2 linked regions of the Anolis sagrei genome follow. The protein of the gene in region 2 purifies or fractionates together with the protein of the main gene of each other region. This does not show direct contact. Links are inferred from orthologs where the notes say so. Each region holds a gene or a part of one and is shown on either strand. Other genes may lie near its edges.

The links.
Region 1: the proteins of HDAC6 (region 2) and DNAJA1 purify together in Homo sapiens (affinity purification with mass spectrometry; 4 studies listed by BioGRID and IntAct, with this or other methods). This does not show direct contact. The link is inferred for Anolis sagrei from reciprocal best matches to the Homo sapiens genes HDAC6 and DNAJA1.

What each region holds. Positions count from the first base shown.
Region 1 is NC_090022.1:150,547,072-150,558,416, reverse strand, and holds the start of DNAJA1 (dnaJ homolog subfamily A member 1), read left to right. Parts: upstream 1-6,523; 5' UTR 6,524-6,718; intron 6,719-9,573; 5' UTR 9,574-9,587; coding exon 9,588-9,719; intron 9,720-10,208; coding exon 10,209-10,386; intron 10,387-10,870; coding exon 10,871-10,975; intron 10,976-11,104; coding exon 11,105-11,332; intron 11,333-11,345.
Region 2 is NC_090022.1:178,367,111-178,378,166, forward strand, and holds the start of HDAC6 (histone deacetylase 6), read right to left. Parts: upstream 5,458-11,056; 5' UTR 5,441-5,457; coding exon 5,294-5,440; intron 5,257-5,293; exon of another isoform or gene 5,164-5,256; intron 1-5,163.

The DNA of each region.
Region 1 (11,345 bases), about 28 Mb from region 2:
AACAAGCCTGCTCCTTCTTTCAGATATTTAAACATGGCAATCATGTCTCCTCTCAATCTTCTCTTCTGCAGGCTAAACATACCCAGCTCTTTAAAACACTTCTCATAGAGATTCATGGTCTCCAGGCCTTTAATAATTTTAGTTCCCATCCTCTGGACACCTTCCAACTTGTCAGTATCTCTTTTTAATTGTGGTGCATAAGCTCTGTCTCTCAAGCACAAAGCCAAAGTTCCACCCCCCTCAAACACAGGGTCTCAAGCACAGGGTCTCAAGCAGAGGTATTGGGTCGCTAGACACCAGAACAGCCACAAAGCCTTAAACAACACACTCACCACCTTATAAACAAGTACCCAGCCTTTAAACAAGAGACAAACAAAACACTCAGCTTTCTAATGCACTCTAAAGGACAAGGCTTACCTTGAGCTAAATGGCTTCCTGCTTCCTCTTCAGTTGCTGGAGCGAAATATTGAAAAACTGCCTGAAAAATAACCAAAACATACAAATATTCCTTTATAGAGGAATAAAGCAGAAAAGGTCTGATTGGCAATATCATAACAGAAAAAAGCCACATGACTTTCCTACAGCCTCAATCTGAGGAACAAAGGACAAAGAAAAAGCAAAAAATAAAACCAAGGCCAAATGCTTCTTTTCCAAAATATACAGGGATATTATTAACAGTGATTTAATCTGTATGTCTCAAATAAGGCTTTGAGAGAAAAACAAGTTTTTTGTCTTTGCCATATTAAGTTTTAGGTGGCAGTGAAACATCCATGCTGAGATGGATGAAAGAAAGGCTGATGTTCAATCTCAGAAGTAAGTTCTACAACTGAAAAAATTAGCATTACTAAAACTCATAAGAACAAATAAGATTACTCAAAGATAATACATGAAGAAAATAACAAGGGACAACTACAGAACCTTGTGGAAACCCAATTGAGAATGCATCTACATTGTAGATTTAATGCAGTTTGACCCCACTTTAATTGCCATGGGTCACTGCTATGTAATCAAGGGGGTTATATAGTTATAAGGTCTTTGGCCTTCTTTGCAAAGGGTATTGTCCATCCACAAACTACAAATCCCAGGATCCCACAACAGTGAGCCATGTCAGCAAAATTGGGGTCAAGTTGAATTAATACTAGAGTGTAGATGCATCCTCAAAGGGGAAAAGATCATAATCTTTCTTTGCTCCAGAGCTCAAAGTGCAGACATAGAAGGAGGGCAGGCATAAAATCATGGACAAACTTGTCTATTTTAATATATGTTAACTTTATTCAATTTAAAACACCAATACAGGCAGTCCCCGAGTTACAAACATTCAACTAACAAATGACTCATAGGTGCAAACGGGGGGTGAGACAACAGGAAATGAGAAATCTACCCCTAGAAAGGGAAATTCACTCCTGAAAGGGTTATCATTGGGGGGGGGGGGATTGTCTCAACTGAAGCTTTATGACCAATCCTTGTTTCCATAACAAGCCAAATGTTTCAAAATTCAGTTATCACAGGGACAGAAAGTGAGATGAAATCCTCTGAACAGGGGCACAAGGGTATTAACCCTTCCCTATGCTATCCAAGGCTAACACACACACACACACACACACAGCCGGAGTTACACTAAAATGTACTGTATCTGTTCCTACATAGAAATTCAACTTAATAACAAAACTACAGAACCTATCTAGTTCACAATTTGGGGACCATCTGTAACAACTTAATTATTACAGACGTCTCTCTTTTGGCATAAATCAAAATGGAGATAATTTTCATCTTACTAAGAATTATTTCAACATATTATTTCCTTTCTGAATTAAACTGAACAGTGGAGCCCAGCTCCTGAAATACTGAAAATAATAATTAATCTAGGCTAGTCTAATCTTGTACCTGCTTAAGAGTTCTGCACTTGCAATATTCAATGAGGATCAATTCAAACGGATCTAGATTTTAATGAGCTTGTTATGAAAACTAGACTGGCCACAGGTCAACTGGAATTAATAGTGTTTTGTCTGTTTCGGTGCAGAATCTCACTCAACAAAAGAATTGAGGCTGGATAGGAGTTGTAGATACTGGGATGTATAGTTCACCTGCAATCTAAGAGCACTCTGAACTCCACTAACAATGGACCTGGAACTAACTGCCATACAATTAAATTCAAAGCAGATAATCTGGATTTGGAAACTGGATTAAATGGCAGTGTAGAAGGACCTCAGATCCAATTAGGCCTGAGTCACACTGTTAATACAATAACATCTTCTATCTTCTATCTATACACATAATAAAAGTGAAAATATGTATATGTGTTCGGCTGGGGTGTCCACTTACACAGACAAGTCCTGACTCCACAAACAGCTATAGCTCCCACTACTCAGGAGACACCAAAAGCCGTCCCTTCAATTACATTGCAGTTTATAGTGAGTGCCGTGAATATATACAAGAGCCATGCCAATGTCCTCCACAAACACCATACTGCCTACCGCCCAAGTGAAGGCTTTCATATGGGGACAATTTCATTCTAGAGTTTACGTGTTTCTTCCTCCAGAGACATCCCAGTGTTTCTTACTCTCTCCATTGGTATGGAATTTGCATGACCCTGCCCACTGCATCTCCCTTAACTATTTCCTATTATTTTCTATGGCACACATCAAACAGAGGAATTGATCAGCAACTGAACATACTAGAGAGGTCTGGGGAGAATTCACCATGAGTTATTAGTTGTAGGTACTGGGATGTATAGTTCACCTGCAATCTAAGAGCACTCTGAACTCCACTACAGACGGACCTGGAACTAACTTGACACACAGAACCCTCACAACAAACAAAAAATACTGGAGGTCTTTGGAGGGATTTATAGGAGTTGGATCTGGACCAGACTTGGCATGCGTACCCTATATTCCCAGATTTGAATACTGGTGGGTTTTGAGGGGAATTGGCCTAGCCATTTTGGAGTTGGTAGGTACCGGGATTTATAGTTCACCTGCAATCAGTTAGCACTCTGAACTCCACCAAAGATGGAATTGGACAAAACTTGACACACAGCCCCCATTTCCAGCAAAAAAATAAATAAAAATACTGGAGGTCTTTGGGAAAAATTAACATTGATTTGAGGGAGTTGTAGTTCACCTATATTCAGAGAGCACAGTGAACCCAAACACTGATCGATCTGGACCAAACTTGGCACATACCCAATATGCCGAAATTTGATTATTGGAGAGGTGGGGAGAGCGCGGGGGGGGGGGGGGGGGAAACTGACCTTCCTTTCTAGGAGATGTCATTCACCCACAACCAGAGAAATAGTGACCTCCACCGATAATGGACCTGAACTTGACACACAGAACCCCCATGACTAACTCAACCTACTGGAGGGGTTTGAGGGTACAGACTCACCATAGTGGGAGGTGTAGTTTATGCTGCAGCCAGAGAGCACACTGAACCCCACCGATGATGCATCTAGAGTAAACTTGCCCAACATAACAAACGTTAAGTACTGATGGAGATTTTCGGGGTTAACCTGGCATGCTGTGAGTTGTAGTTCACCCACAACCTTATGCACTTTGTATAACTTAAAAATTGACTTTTTCAAATAACCCAGGCAATGCCAGGTACCCAAGCTAGTTTATGGGAATATAATATTAGTATATTACTGCCTTAGGAATATATTATGTATTGAATACAATTATTAAATAAAATTATTGAATATGCTGAATGGTTTTTAATTGTGAATTTTAATACTGTTTATATTTAATTCCGTTTTAATATTTGAATATTTGTATATTTGAAATTGTGTACTGTACTAATGCTTTTATATCAAGCCACTTTGAGTCCCCTTTGGGAGAGATAAAGCTGGGTAGAAACAAATATAATATTAATAATACTATACTATGATAATGGATGAGTTGGAATATAAATGCACTGAGTAGTGTGTATGGAAGAAAATGCCAAATTAGAAAATACTCTTAGGTATTGTGGCCACATTATGAGGAGACAGGAAAGCTTAGAGAAGACAATGATGCTGGGGAAAATGGAAGGAAAAAAGAAGAGGGGCCGACCAAGGGCAAGATGGATGGATGGCATCCTTGAAGTGACTGGCTTGACTCTGAAGGAACTGGGGGTGGTGACGGCTGACAGGGAGCTCTGGCGTGGGATGGTCCATGAGGTCATGAAGAGTTGGAAATGACTGAACGAATGAACAACATTGTAGGAAATATTGCTGGTTGGCCTAATAAAGGCAAGAGCCTCCAAAATGAATTTTGGCGTTTAACGGCAGACATTTGAGGCTCATTCTACATAGTTGTATAAAATACACATATAGCTGGAATGTGTCCAGAGGAGGGTGACTAAATGATCAAGGGTCTGGAGAACAAGCAGGCTTAAAGGAGCAGCTTAAAGAGCTGGGCATGTTTAGTCTGAAGAAGAGAAGGCTGAGAGGAGACATGATAGCCATGTATAAATACGTGAGCGGAGGTCATAGGAAGGAGGGAGCAAGCTTGTTTTCTGCTACCATGGAGACTAGGTCGCGGAACAATGGCTTCAAACTACAAGAAAGGAGATTCCATCTGAAATTTAGGAAGAACTTCTTGACTGTGAGAGCCGTTCAGCAGTGGAACTCTCTGTGTGGTGGAGGCTCCTTCTTTGGAGGCTTTTTAAACAGAGGCTGGATGGCCATCTGTCGTGGGTGCTTTGAATGCAGTTTTCCTGCTTCTTGGCAGGGGGTTGGACTGGATGGCCCATGAGGTCTCTTCCAACTCTATGATTGTGTATGACAGTGTGTCAGATATTTTAGTTCAAAGCAGATATTGTAGATCATCTGAGTTGATATTCTGGATTGTATGGACCTTAGGCTCCTTGCATACAGCTATATAAAATCCCACATTGTCTGCTTTGATCTGGGTGGGTTATATGGCAGTGTGGACTCAGATAACCCAGTTCAAAGGAGTTATTGTGGGATTTTGATATTCTGGGGGCCCTTCCACACAGCCATATAACCCAGAATATCAAGGTAGAAAATCCCACAATATCTGCTTTAGTGGGTTATCTGGAGTCCACACTGCCACATATCCCAGTGCAAAGCAGATAATGTGGGATTTTATTCTGCTGGGGAAGAGGCCTGAGTCCACACTGCCCTATAACCTAGTTCAATGTGGATTTTATATAGTTGTGTGGCAGGGGCCATAATACTGGTATTGTACTATGCTAATAATATAATATATATATTGTGTATATATATCTATATATATTGCAACAAGATTATGGCAACAAGAATGATTGACAACTGGAAAATAGAGGGAGGAAATGTGGAGGCCGTGACAGATTACTGCAGACGCAGACTGTGGCCAGGAAATCAGAAGACACTTACTTCTTGGGAGGAGAGCAATGTCCAATCTTGATAAAATAGTAAAGAGTAGAGACATCACACTGGCAACAAAGATCCGCCTAGTCAAAGCCATGGTATTCCCTGTAGTCACCTACGGATGTGAGAGCTGGACCTTCGGGAAGGCTGAGCGAAGGATGATCGATGCTTTTGAACTGTGGTGTTGGAGGAAAGTTCTGAGAGTGCCTTGGACTGTGAGAAGATCCAACCAGTCCATCCTCCAGGAAATAAAGCCCGACTGCTCATTGGAGAGAAGGATACTAGAGACAAAGTTGAAGTATTTTGGCTACATCATGAGGAGACAGCAAAGCCTAGAGAAGACAATTATGCTGGGGAAAGTGGAAGGCAAAAGGAAGAGGGGCCGACCAAGGGCAAGATGGATGGATGGCATCCTTGAAGTGACTGGACTGACCTTGAAGGAGCTGGGGGTGGTGACGGCCGACAGGGACCTCTGGCGTGGGCTGGTCCATGAGGTCACGAAGAGTCGGAGACGACTGAACGAATGAACAACAACAACAACAATATATAGCAAGCTGCTCTTAGTCCCCTTCGGGGCGAGAAGGGCGGCATATACATATCTATATAAATAAAAATGTAATGTTCGTTTGTGGGATTAACATAACTCAAAAATCACTGGATGAATTGACACCAAATTTGGACACAATATACTTATCAGGCCAACAAGTGACCAATACTCATAAAAAACACTGAAAAACACAGAAGAGACATAAAACAGGGAAAAAAATTAAAAAATTATAATGCAGGTGCAAAATCACATATACACATATATACAGAGTGGGCCACAGCAACGCGTGGCAGGGAACGGCTGGTCGTAAATAAATAAATATGTTGTATGGCTGTATGGAAGAGCCCTTAGATTCGCCTGAAAGGTGAGTAAAACTACCCTTGTTAATAAGACCACGCCACCTGCAATGAAGCCAGACTTCTTTGTGAGGCGCGTTGCATTCTGGACGTCGAAGTCTTTCTGACAGGGCCAAAGAAAGGTATTCACGGGGGAGAGGAGGCATGCCGGGATTTGTAGTCCCCGGCGGGCGACGTCACGGCCAGGGAGGCTTATGATTGGGGGTATGCCACGGTTTGCGAGAAAGCTGGCCAATAGCAGCGCCTGGAGAGGAGGGCGGGGCTTTCTTGAAAGGGAAAGGAAACTCCCCGGATGCTGCCTAGCCTAGCCTGAGACCGGCTCGGAACTTTCCAGAAAAAGTCAGCGCGAGAAGGAGAAGGAAGAAGGAGAGGAGGCTCGAGCCGGCTGTTAGAAGAGAGAGAGAGAGATAGAGAAAGAGAAGACAGGGCTGCTTTCATTGTAAGCCTGCGTTTGGGTCGAAAGCGCGAGTGAGTGAGGGACAAAGGAAAAGCCGGGTGGGGTGGGGGTGGGGTTGGGGTTGGGGGTGGGGGAGGGGTCTCCTCAGCTACCTTCCCCCCCCCTCCTCTAGTTCTCCACAAAGAGAGGGCGCGCGGGAGAGAGAGGGAGGGAGGGAGGGAGGGGGGAGCGCGCGACGGTTAGGTCAGCTGACTCCGGGTTCTGAGAGAAGGCAGAGAAGGGGATTTGGCGGGAGGGAGGGAAGGAGAAGGGAAGGGAAGTCGGGCCTTCGTGGGTGAGGGAAGGGGGGGGGGAGAGAAAGAAAGCGGAGTCGTGGAGTGGGAGACAGCGCCCTCCACACAAGGGACCCCTGCAAATGGGACTGCAGTGGGTGCCCCTTCTGTGTCACGTGATGGAGCGAGGGAGGCCCTTTTACATAACAGTCTGTGGGGAAGAAGACCCCCCCCCCCTTGTAAAGTTGGGAGCCTTCCACACACAGCTGAATAAAATCCCACGTTTTCTGCTTTGAATTGGAATATATGGTAGTGTGGACTCAGGGTACTTTCCACGCAGCCATATTGCAGGACCCAGGATATCAAGGTAGGAAACCTCACAATGTCTGCTTTGAACTGGAATATATGGCAGTGTGGACTCAGGGCCCTTCCACACAGCCGTATTGCAGGACCCAGGATATCAAGGCAGGAAACCCCACAAGATCTGCTTTGAACTGGTATTCTGGATCATATGGCTGTGTGGAAGGGCCCTTATTCTAATTGCTATTTGACACAAGAAAAGAGTTAGGGGGTGTTTTTTTCCACGGAGGCTCCAGTGGCTCTATTATCAGGTGGGGCTGGAAAGAGAAGCAATGAGGGGCAAACTTGGTTTGCCTGAAGCACCGCTTTCCCAACATTTCTTTAGTCACAGCATCATTTCGCAACACAGTTGTTCTGTTTTTAATAGCTAACTAGAGGTAAACCAATCCCGTTGAAGAGAATACAGGCACCTTCTCAACATGATAAGAGTACAAATCAATAAACCTACAAGGAGAATCATCATGTATGGCAGGCATGGGCAATCTTTGGCCCTCCAGGTGTTCTGTATTTCAACTCCCAAATTCCTAGCAGTTTATGGCTGTTCGAAATGGTGGTGGTTGAAGTCTGAAACACCTGGAGGGCCAAAGGTTTCCCATGCCTGATGTATGTGACAACAACAGCAAGTGCTGGTAGATGTAGACCTTTAAAGCCCTAGACCAGTGGTTCTCAACCTGTGGGTCCTCAGGTGTTTTGGCCCACAACTCACAGAAATCCCAGCTAGTTTACCAACTGTTAGGATTTCTGGGAGTTGTAGGCCAAAACACCTGGGAACCCACAGATTAAGAACCACAGCTCTAAACAGTTCAGGTCCAGGCTATTTGGCCAGCTGCATACCCTTGTATGAATCTGCCCCAGCCTTGAGATCTTCAAGAGAGGCCCATCTCTCGGGGCCCTTCCACATGGCTATATAACCCAGACTATCAAGGCACAATACCCCACAATATGTGCTTTGAATTGGGTTATCTGAGTCCACGCTGCCATATATTCCAGTTGAGAACAGGGAATATATGTGGGATTTTATTCAGCTGTGTGGAAGGGGCCTCAGTCCCACCTCCATCTGAAGCTCAGAGAGAGTGGGCCTTCCTTCTCCGTAGGTGGGTGCTTCAATACTCTGGATCTCCCTTCTTCCTAGGGAAGCCAGAATGGTCCCCTCCCTGCTGTCCTTCTGGTGGCAGGCTAAAACCTTCTGAATCAGGCAGGTTTTTAAAGAAGGTTTTTAAGATTTAGTTATGGGGTGCTGTGGTTTTAAACTTTGAATATGTTTTTATGGATTTTAATGTATTTTTTTAGTGCTACCTGTGTTTTTGTTTTAATGTGTATATATTTGTACATTTTAAATTGTGTACTAATACTACTGCTCAAGCCACTTTGAATCCCCTTTGTGGAGATAAAGCGGGCTATAATAATAATAAAATAATAACAATACAAATGAATAAACCTGTAAGGATTATCATCATGTATGTGATTACAACAGCAAGGATAGTATTGGCAAAAAAGTGGAAAATAACGGGAGTACCTTCTAATCTATGATTGACAACTGAAATTAAGAGAAGCCATGGAAATGACAAATTTACTAGAACAATGAAGGGGGGGGGGGTCTCTAAGCAAGGTGCTGAAAAGTGGGAGAATGTAGATAAATACTTGAAGGAATAAGTCATCTCTGTGAATAAAAATAAGTATTGGCTATTTAAGATTTAAGATTCTGCTTTTTCCTAAATGGGATGCAAGAAGACTTAGGAAAAATTTCAACCTCGAAAGGAAGGAAGTATTGTTTTTGTAGTTATAGTTTATTTGGATTATGTTATGATTGATTGTTTTGTGTGTTGTGTTTTCTTTGTATTTTATGGTGTAGTATGCTTTTGTTTCTTTCTGAAAATCAATTAAAATGTTAAAAAAAAGGAGATAAAGACACACACATATATTGTAATAAAGGAAAGTATGGGGGACACAACATATCACATGAAAAGCTTCTGTTTGTATATTTTTAAAAATGTATATATGATTTGTAAGATGACATACATTTCCAAGATTTACTGTATGTCATTTCTCATTATGTTTGCGTTACACATCTACACATGACAGCCGACATACTAAACAGTTTGGAAAGCTCTGGTGTAGATAATCCAGAGTAATTGGTGCGCAGAGTGAGGCAGCGCAAGAAGATACAAGTTTGGTCTCACCAGAGGTCTCTTTATGGGCACAGTCTTTGAGGAAATAAGGAAGTGGGCTGAACTCATGACATCATAAATTTTGCATTCCTTTTCTAGTTTTAATTTTCATCTTTCCCCTTCCAGGTATCTATTGCACCATGGTGAAGGAGACTACATACTATGATGTGCTTGGGGTAAAACCCAATGCGTCCCAAGAGGAACTGAAAAAAGCTTATAGGAAACTGGCATTGAAATACCACCCTGATAAGAATCCAAATGAAGGTGAAAAGGCAAGTGTGCAAGCTCACTCCCTCCTAAATATTTTGCTTATTAGCTTAGTAGATGGTTCTGTATTGTCTCGTTCGGACTTTGCCTCATTTTTGTGAATGGGTTGGATTCTAATATATCAATATTATTTTCAGAACCTGAGAAGCTTAATAGCTCTTTTCAAATTTTAATGGTATTCATATCTCCACTTCAGAATTTCCCTGTTAACATGGGAACACCTGGGGAAAAGCAGGATCCTGAATTTGTTTTCACCTTTTGTAAATGTCATGGTGCAGCTGCACTCTATGATTTTTACTTCAAAAATTGCAGGTTGGGTTTTAGCATAGACGACTTAACGCCGAGAACTAATTTTGCTAAATGGTATGCTATTAATCTCTAGCCACTTCCTTGCCCTTAAGCAGTTATAGTGGTACAAAGTAAATATTATAGTGATATAAATTACTTTCTGTAAAATAAGATTTCTCTGATTTTTGTTCTTTTTGTTCTTGTAGTTCAAACAGATTTCTCAAGCTTATGAAGTTCTTTCTGACATCAAGAAAAGAGATTTGTATGATAAAGGTGGTGAACAAGCCATTAAAGAGGGTGGTACTGGAAGCAGCTTTGGGTCACCCATGGATATATTTGATATGTTCTTTGGAGGAGGCGGGCGAATGCAACGAGAGAGGAGAGGTAATGTACAACTTTAGTTGAAGTAGTTCACAGTAGCCTTGGCTAATAAGCAAAAGATAAACTTAATGTTAGGATAATGTCTGTTTTCATTTATAAAGTACCTCAAGTGATATAGGCAGGACTACAAAATAATTATATGTTGCATTCTGCATGGATTGTTAATTGATGTAAGTTTACTTGGAAGTATTCCACTGAGTTTCAGTTATGCTTTCCATATGTGTAGAATAGGCAGAGAATTGCATCCTTAGTTTGTTTGTTGGTTCTACCTTCCCTCTCAGTAAGGATCAAGCACTACGACTCTCACTCACATTGCTTTGTGGGAGAACCTGTTGACCTTTTTAAGTGTAGCTGCAATACCAGTCAATGTTTGTCCTTATAGTGACTTCCCACAGTGGAGAAAATTAGAATCAGAAGCATGGATCTGAAACCTCAATAATGAAACTCTTTGGAGCATTTCTCATCAAATGCCTGCTTTTCCTTACAGGTAAAAATGTTGTTCATCAGTTGTCAGTAACTCTAGAAGACCTATACAATGGAGCAACACGAAAACTCGCTCTACAAAAGAATGTGATTTGTGACAAATGCGAAGGTATGTTGGTACAAAAATTTCAGTTTATTCAGTAAAAATTGACATCCATGACAAATATATGTAGCAAGTGAGTGAGGGAGGAGACATACATGGTATTTTCTACTCTTATTCCCCTTTGTTCTTCTATAGGCCGAGGTGGCAAGAAAGGTGCAGTGGAATACTGCCTTAATTGCAGAGGAACAGGCATGCAAGTAAGGATTCACCAAATTGGGCCTGGAATGGTTCAGCAAATCCAGTCAGTGTGTATGGAATGCCAGGGCCATGGAGAGCGCATCAGCCCCAAGGATAGATGTAAAAGCTGCAATGGAAGGAAGATTGTTAGAGAGAAGAAAATTCTTGAAGTCCATATTGATAAAGGTGCGTATCATAC
Region 2 (11,056 bases):
CACATAACATCTCCTTTTTTGAGGAGCAGCTATCCCCAAGTGCCACCATCTGGAACCTGCCTGAGATGCACAACCAGAACCACAGCAGCATAATGCCTCCGATTCCCAGCCCCTCTAGCCGTTCCAGAAGGAGACCATGGTCAATGGTATCGAAGGCTACTAAGAGGTCCAGAAATACCAAAAGGGACATGCTCCCCATATCGTTATTGGAACAGAGAACATCTACTAAGGCGACCATAGCAGTCTCAACTCCATATCCTGCTCTGAAGTCAGTTTGAAATTGGTTAAGAAAGTGTGTGTCATCCAACACCACCTGGAGTTGGAGGACAACTGCCTTCTCAATCACCTTGCCCAAAAAAGAGGTTAGACACTGGTCTGTAAGTATTAAGGTCCAGGGGATCAAGGGAAGGCTTTTTCAGCAGGAAAAAATGTCCTCCTGATAGTAAAACTCTACAGTCAACCCTCCATATTATCTGTGGATAAGGTGCAGGCCCCCGTGAAAGTGAAAAACTGCAAATAAAGAAATTGCTTTTATTTTTACTTGAGAGAATACCTCTTGAGGAATGTCTAGATCCTCCAACATGAATGGAGGAAGTTGGTCACAGAGTCACACTCAAAGATCTATAGATTCCTTGAAAGAACAAATCTATAAATAACACTGTTCAATACCTGTTTCGGTGCCTCAAATGTTAACCCTTTTTCTGGATATATTTGACCAGCTGATTCCAAAAAAGGCACCAGCTTTCCCCTTATCGGTTCTAGTTTCTTGAATGCAAAACCTATGTCATTACCAGTCACCATTTGCTCACCCATAAGAAAAAAAAAACCCACATGATAACCATATCTAAGAAACTAGAGCTGATGCAGTCTATCCAATGCAATTTTCCAAATTAGCACCCCAAAAAACTAAGGAACAGACTTAACAAGCAGGACACCAAGAATGTATGTTGTTGAGCTGCAAACAAGCCCACAAAAGTCAAAACCATGAGGGATGACTGCATTCACAACAGACACCAAAACAGGCTACAGGATTGTAATGGGATCTAAAATCTACGTGGGGCTGCCTTTGAATACGGTTTGGAAACTTCAGCTAGTTCAACGGGCGGCAGCCAGATTACTAACTGGGGCGGCATACAGGGAGCATACCACCCCCCTGCTATGCCAGTTCCACTGGCTGCTGGTCCATCTCCGAGCCCAATTCAAAGTGCTGGTTTTGACCTATAAAGCTCTATACGGTTCTGGCCCAGCTTACTTGTCCAAACACATCCATACCTACATCCCACCTCATAATCTACATCATACAGGGAGGCCCTGCTCTCGCTCCCATCAACAGCACAGATGCGTCTGGCGGGGATGAGAGACAGGGCCTTCTCGGCTGTGGCCCCCCACCTATGGAACACACTCCCAAATGAGGTAAGATCTGCTCCCTCCCCCCTGGCTTTTAGAAAAAATTAAAATCATAGTTTTGGAACCAGACCTCTGGGCAGTAGAAGTAAATGTATGCAGCATTTCAGAAAGACAATGACTGGAACAGCGATTCGAAAGACGAGACTGCTTTATTGTTTTAATTATTGTTTTATTGCTCATTGATGTACTGTTTTTAACTTGATTTATGTCTAATTTTGTAGTATATAATTGTAATTGCTTGTACTGGCATTGAATTTTGCCATTACTTATGAGTCCCCCTCGGGGTGAGAAAAGCGGTATATAAATAAATAAATAAATAAATCCACTCGCCTTACAAGTCTCCAAATGAGTGCACTTAGAGCTATGTTTCTTGCACACCAACATACAACAGAGATGCCCAAATGCACTTTGAGTGACAGGTGCAGAAATGTCCTCTTATGAACATTTGATGATACCTGTGTTTACACTATGATCTTTCTGCCACTGCCAGTCTGAATGGCTCCATTATTATTATTATTATTATTATTATTACTATTATTATTATTTAGTTTATTGATACCCAGCTTTTTCTCTCCACAAGGAGACTCAAAGCAGCTTACATTAAAAGCCTTTCAATACAATACAAAATCTACAAATATATAAACAATAAACCAGAATTAAATATCATTGGTATTACAAAAATTCAGTTGAAATCCATAAAAACCAATTCAGAACTAAAAACCCTGTTCCTATCGACCCCACCTCTTAAAGCCAAGCCCCTTTCTTTCCCTCTTGCATTGTCTCCATTGTGTGCAGTAGATTCCCACTCCTCCTTCTCCAAACCCTGATTCATCTCAAGCTCTCAATTTGAGCAGAAGGAATCCAGGCTGCAATCTGGTGCATAGTTACCAGAGATTAAGCACACATTGACCAGATTTGGAGATTTATTTCCAAGCAGACAAGCGCAAGACGGCCCTATTGGAATCTGAACCTTTGGAATGACCGTTTTTGGCTTTCCTGTGCCACCATTCACACATTCATCAGAGTCAGGCACTGAATCCATTGCATTGGCAGAGGGGGCAAGAAAAAGGGTGGCGGAAGGAAATCATTCGTTTTGACAAAGCACACAATGCCATCCAGGGCCCCAGGTGAGATGGCAGTATGTGGTTATGTGTTTGTATATGTGCCATCAAGTCGCCTGTTGACTTATGACAACCTCTGAGGATGCTTGCCATAGATGCAGGCGAAACGTCAGGAGAGAATGCCTCTAGACCATGGCCATTTAGCCCGAAAAAACTTACAACAACCCAGTGATTCCGGCCATGAAAGCCTTCAACAATACCTATACATTTAAGTTTTTTTTAAGACAGGGAACCATCAGGGGTGGTTTTGCCAGTGGTTTCCTCTGAAATAAGATCTACAACACATGGAATTCATTGGTGCTCCCCATCCAAGTACTAACCAGGGCTGACCCTGCTTAGCCTCCAAGATCAGACAGAATCTGATGCCCTGGATTTGCCTATATAGGTGCTATTTTAGGCCCTTTCCACACAACTGTGTAAAATTAACATTAAACTGGATTATGAGGCAATGTAGACTCAGATAATCCAGTTCAAAGAAGATATTGTGGATTATCTGTCTTGAAAATCTGGGTTATATGGCTGTGCGGAAGGGGCCTATGAGGAAAGAAACAGCATAATCACCTGAGTGTGCCTTGCTGAGATAACACTGGGGAAATCAAGTTGAAAACACACACTTAGGCCGGATCTACACTGCCATATTATCCAGATTATCAGCACTGAACTGGATTATATTAGTCTACACTGCCATATAATCCAGTTCAAATCAGATAATCTGGATTTTATATTGCAGTGTAGATGGGGTAAATAAATAGGCACCCAATCTCCCACCCTGGACATTCCACAGATATATAAATCCAAATTTCGTAGTTTCCAACACACCTCACAACCTATGAGGATGCCTGCCATAGATGCAAAGGTTTCACTAATTTTGGAGGATTCCAGATTTCCAGATAAGCATGCTCAATTTGTATTGTCAAAGGCTTTCATGGCCGGAATCACTGGGTTGTTATAGGTTTCTTCGGGCTATATGGCCATGTTCTAGAGGCATTCTCTCCTGAAGTTTCGCCTGCATCTATGGCAAGCATCCTCAGAGGTTGCTTGCCATAGATGCAGGCGAAACGTCAGGAGAGAATGCCTCTAGAACATGGCCATATAGCCTGAAAAAATCTGCAACAATCCATTCCACAGATACATAAATCCAAATGTCATAGTTTCCAGCAGACCTCGCAACCTATGAGGATGCCTGCCATAGATGCAGGCGAAATGTCAGGAGAGAATGCTTCTAGAATAAGGAAAAATTCCCAGCAATATGTCCTCAGAATGCACTTTACTATTAGATTGGGTTGGACTGCATTCCCCTCATTTCTTTTAAAACCCTTATACCAGATATATCCTACCTTGTTCATGCCCAGTGTTTATTTTTTAAATTTTAAACTATTACATAGGTTTTTAAATCCTTGTGTGTTATTTTTTATTGTTTATATGTGATTTATATAATGTGTCCAGTTGGAATGTGTCCAGAGGAGGGCAACAAAAATGATCAAGGGTCTGGAGAACAAGCCCTATGAGGAGCGGCTTAAGGAGCTGGGCATGTTTAGCCTGAAGAAGAGAAGGCTGAGAGGAGATATGATAGCCATGTATAAATATGTGAGAGGAAGCCACAGGGAGGAGGGAGAAAGCTTGCTTTCTGCTTCCTTGGAGACTAGGACACAAAACAATGGCTTTAAACTACAAGAGAGGAGATTCCATCTGAACATGAGGAAGAACTTCCTGACTGTGAGAGCCGTTCAGCAGTGGAACTCTCTGCCCCGGAGTGTGGTGGAGGCTCCTTCTTTGGAAGCTTTTAAACAGAGGCTGGATGGCCATCTGCCAGGGGTGATTTGAATGCAATATTCCTGCTTCTTGGCAGGGGGTTGGACTGGATGGCCCATGAGGTCTCTTCCAACTCTTTGATTCTATGATTCTATATTAACCGTATTGTATTGTATTGTTTTTGTTTATTGCTTTCTTGTTTTTATTGATGTGTTGTTGGGCTTGGCCTCATATAAGCCGCTCCGAGTCCCTTGGGGAGATGGTGGTGGGGTATAAATAAAGTTATTATTATTAATATTATTATTATTACATGGCCATACAGCGCGAAAAACCTACAACAACCCAGTGATTTTGGCCATGAAAGCCTTCGACAATACATTTACACCCAATCTTATCTGATCTTGGAAGTCAAGCCATACTTGGGCTGGAGATCATCAACATAGACCAGAGAAAGGAGCTGGAGAATCCGCCTTTGAGGATAAATGTTGGGAAAAGTCAAGGAGTTGCCACAAATGGACAAGCAAGTTGAACACACACATTATACACACCCTAAAATACCCAAAAGGTCCCAGATCCTGCCTGATCTTGGAAGCTAAGCAGGGCCAGCCTTGGCTGGTACTTGGATGGGAGACCACCAACCCAGACCAGGGAGGATGTAGCAAAAAAATACCTGCTATGAATACAGAAGTGACTTGAAGGCACATGCATAAAGAGAAAGGAAGGAAGGAAGGAAGGAAGGAAGGAAGGAAGACATGTGCCCCCTCCCACTAAATGTACTGCTGCAACCAATGTATACAAAGAGAGAGAGCTTGAGAGCTCAAGTTCAAAGGCAATGCCCAACCCAGGGGCTTTGCTTGCCTGCAGCAGGACCTGATCCACTCACCAGCTGGGAGATCTGCCAAAGGAAAGCAGGAGGGAGGCGGCAGTTTAGGGCAACCGAAAAGCAGGCCACCTCCTCCCCGCGCCCCTTCCCCAGCTCGCCTTGGGGTGGGGGGGGCGTGTCACCTCCTTACCTGGAGACCTCGCTCCCCCCTCTCTCGCGCGGGGACTTGGTTCCGCCCAGGGCGCCGCCTGATGCTGTCACTGGAACAACCGGGTGGAAGCTGGGCGAGACCATTCCGCTCGAAAGGGGCGTGGCTTTGAAAAGTGGGCGAGACCATTGAAGAGACAGACAGAAAGCGGTCAGTATGTGAAAGGAGGAGGAGGGGGTTGGATGAGACCATTTGCCTTGAAGAGGGGCGTCCAGCCACATATTTTGTAAACGCGTGTTGGAGCAGCTGTTGGTGCCCCTTTCTGCAACGCCATGTGATGCAGTTTGGATTTGTGTTGTATGATCAATGTAAACCTATATAATGCAGTCTATTATATGGGTCCAAACTAATCACATAATGCAGATTCAAACTGCATTATGGGGCAGTGTAGATGGGACCTGAGTCAGAGTAAATGAAGACCATAATATTTATTTATTTATTTATTTATTTAAAAGTTTTGCATACCGGCCTTCTCACCTCTCTTGATATTTCCAACCATAATATCACATACAGTCAATAAAACATAATAATACATATTACAGTAAAACATTAAAACAGCAATTACAATCAATAACTATAATGGTCAGTCGTCACACTAAAATCGTTGCTCATCATCCTCCATCCATATCTCAGGGTGTTGGCTCACTCGTCAAATGCCTGTCTCCATAACCAAGTCTTCACCTGTTTCCTAAATGTCAGGATAGACGGGGTGGTTCTGATCTCCAGTGGGAGAGAGTTCCAGAGTCGAGGGGCCACCACCGAGAAGGCCCTGTCCCTCGTCCCCACCAGACACGCTTGCGAGGCCGGTGGGACTGAAAGCAGGGCCTCTCCAGACGATCTTAATAATCTTGATGGTTCGTAAGGGAGAATATGTTCGGAGAGGTAAATAGGGCCGGAGTCGTTTAGGGCTTTGTAGGTCAAAACCAGCACTTTGAATTGTGCTCGGAAGCTATTCGGCAGCCAGTGGAGCTGGCGTAACAGAGGGGTTGATTGCTCCCTGTACCCAGCACCCGTTAGTAGTCTGGCTGCCGAGCGTTGGACTAGCTGCAGCTTCCGGGCAGTCTTCAGAGGCAACCCCACGTAGTGAGCGTTGCAGTAGTCTAAACGGGATGTAAACAAAGCGTGGACCACCGTGGCCAAGTCAGACTTCCCAAGGTACGGGCGCAGCTGACGCACAAGTTTTAATTGTGCAAAAGCTCCCCTGACCACCGGCGAAATCTGGGGCTCCAGGCTCAGCGATGCATCTAGAAGAACTCCCAAACTGCGAACCTGTGCCTTCAGGGGGAGTGTGACCCCATCCAGCACAGACTGTAACCCTATACCTTGTTCGGCCTTTCGACTGACCAGGAGTACCTCTGTCTTGTCTGGATTAAGTTTCAATCTGTTGTCCCTCATCCAGTCCGTTACAGCGGCCAAGCACCGGTTCAGGACTTGGACAGCCTCCTTAGTAGAAGGTGGAAAGGAGTGACAGAGTTGGACATCATCTGCATACAGATGACACCGTACCCCGAAACTTCGGATGATCTCTCCCAACGGCTTCATGTATATGTTAAACAACATAGGGGACAATATTGAGCCCTGCGGGACTCCACAGTGCAATGGCCGAGGAGTCGAGCAGGAGTCCCCTAGTGACACCTTCTGGGAGCGACCCTCGAGAAAGGACCGGAGCCACTGCAAGGCAGTACCCCCAAGACCCATTCCTGCGAGGCGTCCCAGAGGGATACCGTGGTCGATGGTATCGAAGGCCGAAGAGAGGTCCAGTAGAACCAACAGGGACACACTCCCCCTGTCCAGTTCCTGGCGAAGATCATCCACTAAGGCGACCATGTCCCGGCCTAAAGCCAGACTGCGCTGGATCTAGATAGTCCATGTCTACCAGGAACTCCTGGAGTTGCGAGGCCACCACACGTTCCAGGACTTTGCCCAAATAGGGGAGATTGGAAACTGGCCGAAAGTTGATGAATTGAGTGGGGTCCAGTGATGGTTTTTTTCAACAGCGGTTTAATAACAGCTTGTTTTAAGCTGGCTGGAATATTGCCTTCCCGAAGGGAGGCATTAACCACCACCTTTACCTGCTCTGCCAAACCCCCTCTGGCTTCTTTTACCAGCCAGGAAGAGCAGGGGTCTAGGATGCATGTGGTGGGCCTCGCCTCCCCAAGAACCCTGATGACCTCGTCGAGTTGAACAGATGGAAAGGAATCCAACAAAACTGGACAAGCAGATGCTTGTGTTACATCCTCAGAGACTGCCGTTAATGTGGTGTCAAAGCCCAAATGGATCAAAGCGACTTTGTCCGCAAAGTACTGAGCAGAGGCTTCACAGCGAGCTGCCGAGTCGTCAGGGGACCCATCTCGCAAGGTGGGATTCAACAACCCTCTAATAATAATAATAATAATAATAATAATACTTTATTTGTACCCCGCTACCATCTCCCCAAGGGACTCGGTGCGGCTTACATGAGGCCAAGCCCACAGCACATCAGTAAACAGAACATCAATAAAAGAAAACATCAATAAACAATCAATGCAATATAAATCATAATCACATAAACAATACAGACAATAAGCAATCAACAGTAACATATAAACATTTAAAACCAAAGGCCGGGCCAAATGTGATAGATTAAAATTAAAAAAACAGTGCTGATGTGAACCAGGTAGGGTATAATTGGGATAGGATTTTTAGAGAGAATGAGAGAGTGCAGTCAATCCTGAAGCAGTAGTAAAGTGCATTTTGAGGACATAATGCTGAGAGTTTTCCTTATTCTGGGAAGGCACACTGGAACAACCACGTTTTCAAGCTCCTCCTAAAGACTGCCATAGTTGGGGCATGTCTGATGTCTCTGGGAAGTGAGTTCCAGAGTCGGGGGGCCACCACCGAGAAGGCCCTCTCCCTCGTCCCCACCAATCGCGCCTGCGAAAGAGGCTGGAGCATGAGCAGGGCCTCTCTAGATGATCGAAGAGATCGTGTAGGTTCATATACAGAAATGCAGTCACGCAGGTAGGCGTGTCCCAAACCGTTCAGGGCTTTGTAGGTAAGATCCTGCACCTTGAATTGGGTTCGGAAAATGAAAGGCAGCCAGCTTTCATTGGAGCTCCTTAAACAGGAGGGTTGACCGCTCCCTGTAAAGAGCACCAGTTAGTAATCTGGCTGCTGCCCGTTGTACCAATTGGAATTTCCGGGCCATTTTCAAGGGCAGCCCCACGTAGAGTGCATTACAGTAGTCCAATCTGAAGGTGACTAAGGCATGGACCACCCTGGCAAGATCCACCTTCACGAGGTACTGTCGCAGCTGGCGCACAAGTCTTAATTGTGCAAAGGCGGCCACCGCTGACGCCTGAGCTTCAAGCATGAGTGATGAGTCCAGGAGGACACCCAGACTGCGGACCTGCGATTTCAAGGGGAGTGTAACCCCATCCAGCACAGGTTGCCACCCTATACCCCGATCCGGTTTACGATCGGCCAGGAGGACCTCTGTCTTGTCGGGATTGATCCTCAACTTGTTCCTCCTCATCCAGCCAGCCACAGCAGTCAGGCACTCATCAAGCACCCGAGGGGCTTCCTTGGAGTTAGGTGGAAAAGAATAGTAGAGTTGTGTGTCATCTGAATAGAGATGGCACCCAACTCCAAAACTCCGGAGGACCTCTCCCAGCGGTTTCATGTAGATGTTGAAAAGCATGGGAGACAGAATGGAGCCTTGCGGGAGCCCACAGGTCAAAGGCCAGGGGTCCAAGCAGGCATCTCCCAGCTTCACCATCTGGGATCGACCCTCCAGGAAGGATCGGAGCCACGACAAAACCGTGTCCCTGAGACCCATCCCAGAGAGACGTCCCAGAAGGATACCATGATTGATGGTATTGAAAGCCGCTGAGATATCCAAGAGAACCAACAGGGTCACATTCCCCCTGTCCAGCTCCCTGCGGAGGTCATCCACCAAGGCGACCAAAGCCTCTCGGTGCCATGACCAGGCCTGAAGCCAGACTGTGACTGATCCAGATAGCTGATGTCATCCAGGAAACACTGGAGCTGAGAGGCGACCACCTGTTCCAACACCTTTCCCAAGAAAGGGAGGTTGGAGATTGGTCTATAATTGTTGGCCTGATAAGTGTATCATGTCCAAATTTGGTGTCAATTCGCCCAGTGGTTTTTGAGTTATGTTAATCCCACAAACGAACATTATATTTTTATTTATATAGATATATATGATTTATTGCTTATCTTATGTAGATCCAAAGGTTTCTCGGTATGTTTGCACAACACAGCTACACACTGCAGGCAGCACACAGACGTGTCACAACACACAGTTCGGAAAGCTCTCATTTAGAGAGTTACCCCCGCTGGGCTTATGCCACAATAAATGTGTCTTTAAGATTAATTTTTTTGGCTGTCGCTGCACCTCTAGTAAATCTATCAATCCCTTCACCCGAAACACTGGAGTAAAAGCAACATCTATCTTCCTTACAGGGTTGTTGTAAGGCAACATCGTCTTGCATTCAGTATACACAAATGTAGAGTCACTCCCAGGTTTCTTCTCAGAATATTGTAGCACTCCCCAAATGAGGCAGCTAGAATTATTTGTTAAGCAATACAAAAATGAATTATTCATATACACTCATGTATAAGTCTAGTTCATGTATAAGTCAAAGGCAGGTTTAAGGGCCAAAATGATGGATTTTAATATGACCCATAGATACGTTGAGGGTCATTCAGAGACGGGTGAGCACCAATGCCATCTCAGGGATCCAGCTGCCCAAGGACATTTCCCTACCCTAGCATTCAAAAAGGCCATTCACCTTTCTACTGGCTGGCACAACCTGGGGATCACAACCAGATACAGTGAAGACATCTTCCCTTGCGCTGTGCTACTCTGCTGCTGAGTATGCATGCCCAGTGTGGAACACATCTCACCACGCTAAAACAGTGGATGTAGCTCTTAATGAGACCTGCCGCATTATCACAGGGTGTCTGCACCCTACACCACTGGAGAAATTACACTGCTTAGCCATTATTGCACCACCTGACATCCGCCGGGAAGTAGCAGCCAATAGTGAAAGGACCAAGGCAGAGACATCTCCAGCTCATCCCCTGTTTGGGTATCAGCCAGCACGTCAACGACTTAAATCTAGAAATAGTTTTCTAAGATCTACAGAGACACTCGCTGGAACACCTCAGCAAGTGAGAGTCCAAAAGTGGCAGGCTCAAACACAGAACCTCAACCAATGGCTGACACCAAATGAGACTCCCCCCTGGGCACACAGAAGACTGGGCAACTTGGAAGGCGCTGAACAGACTGCGCTCTGGCACCACAAGATGCAGAGCCAACCTTCAGAAATGTGGCTACAAAGTGGAATCCTTGACATGCGAGAGTGGAGAGGAGCAAACCACTGACTACCTGCTGCAATGCAACCTGAGCCCTGCCACATGTACAATGGAGGACCTTCTTGCAGCAACACCAGAAGCACTCCAAGTGGCCAGATACTGGTCAAAGGACATTTAATCAGCTACCAAACTCACAAATGTTGTATTTTGTCTGTTTGTTTGCTTTGTTCTGTTAGAAATGTAATATAATTGGCTGGTTGCCCTGACACGACAAATAAATAAATCTCTCTACTCAAAGAAGAAGATTGTTCTCATTTAAAATAAGCTAAGGTACAGTTAAGTTAAGGTACTGACCTTGAAGGAGCTGGGAGTGGTGACGGCCGACAGGGAGCTCTGGCGTGGGCTGGTCCATGAGGTCATGAAGAG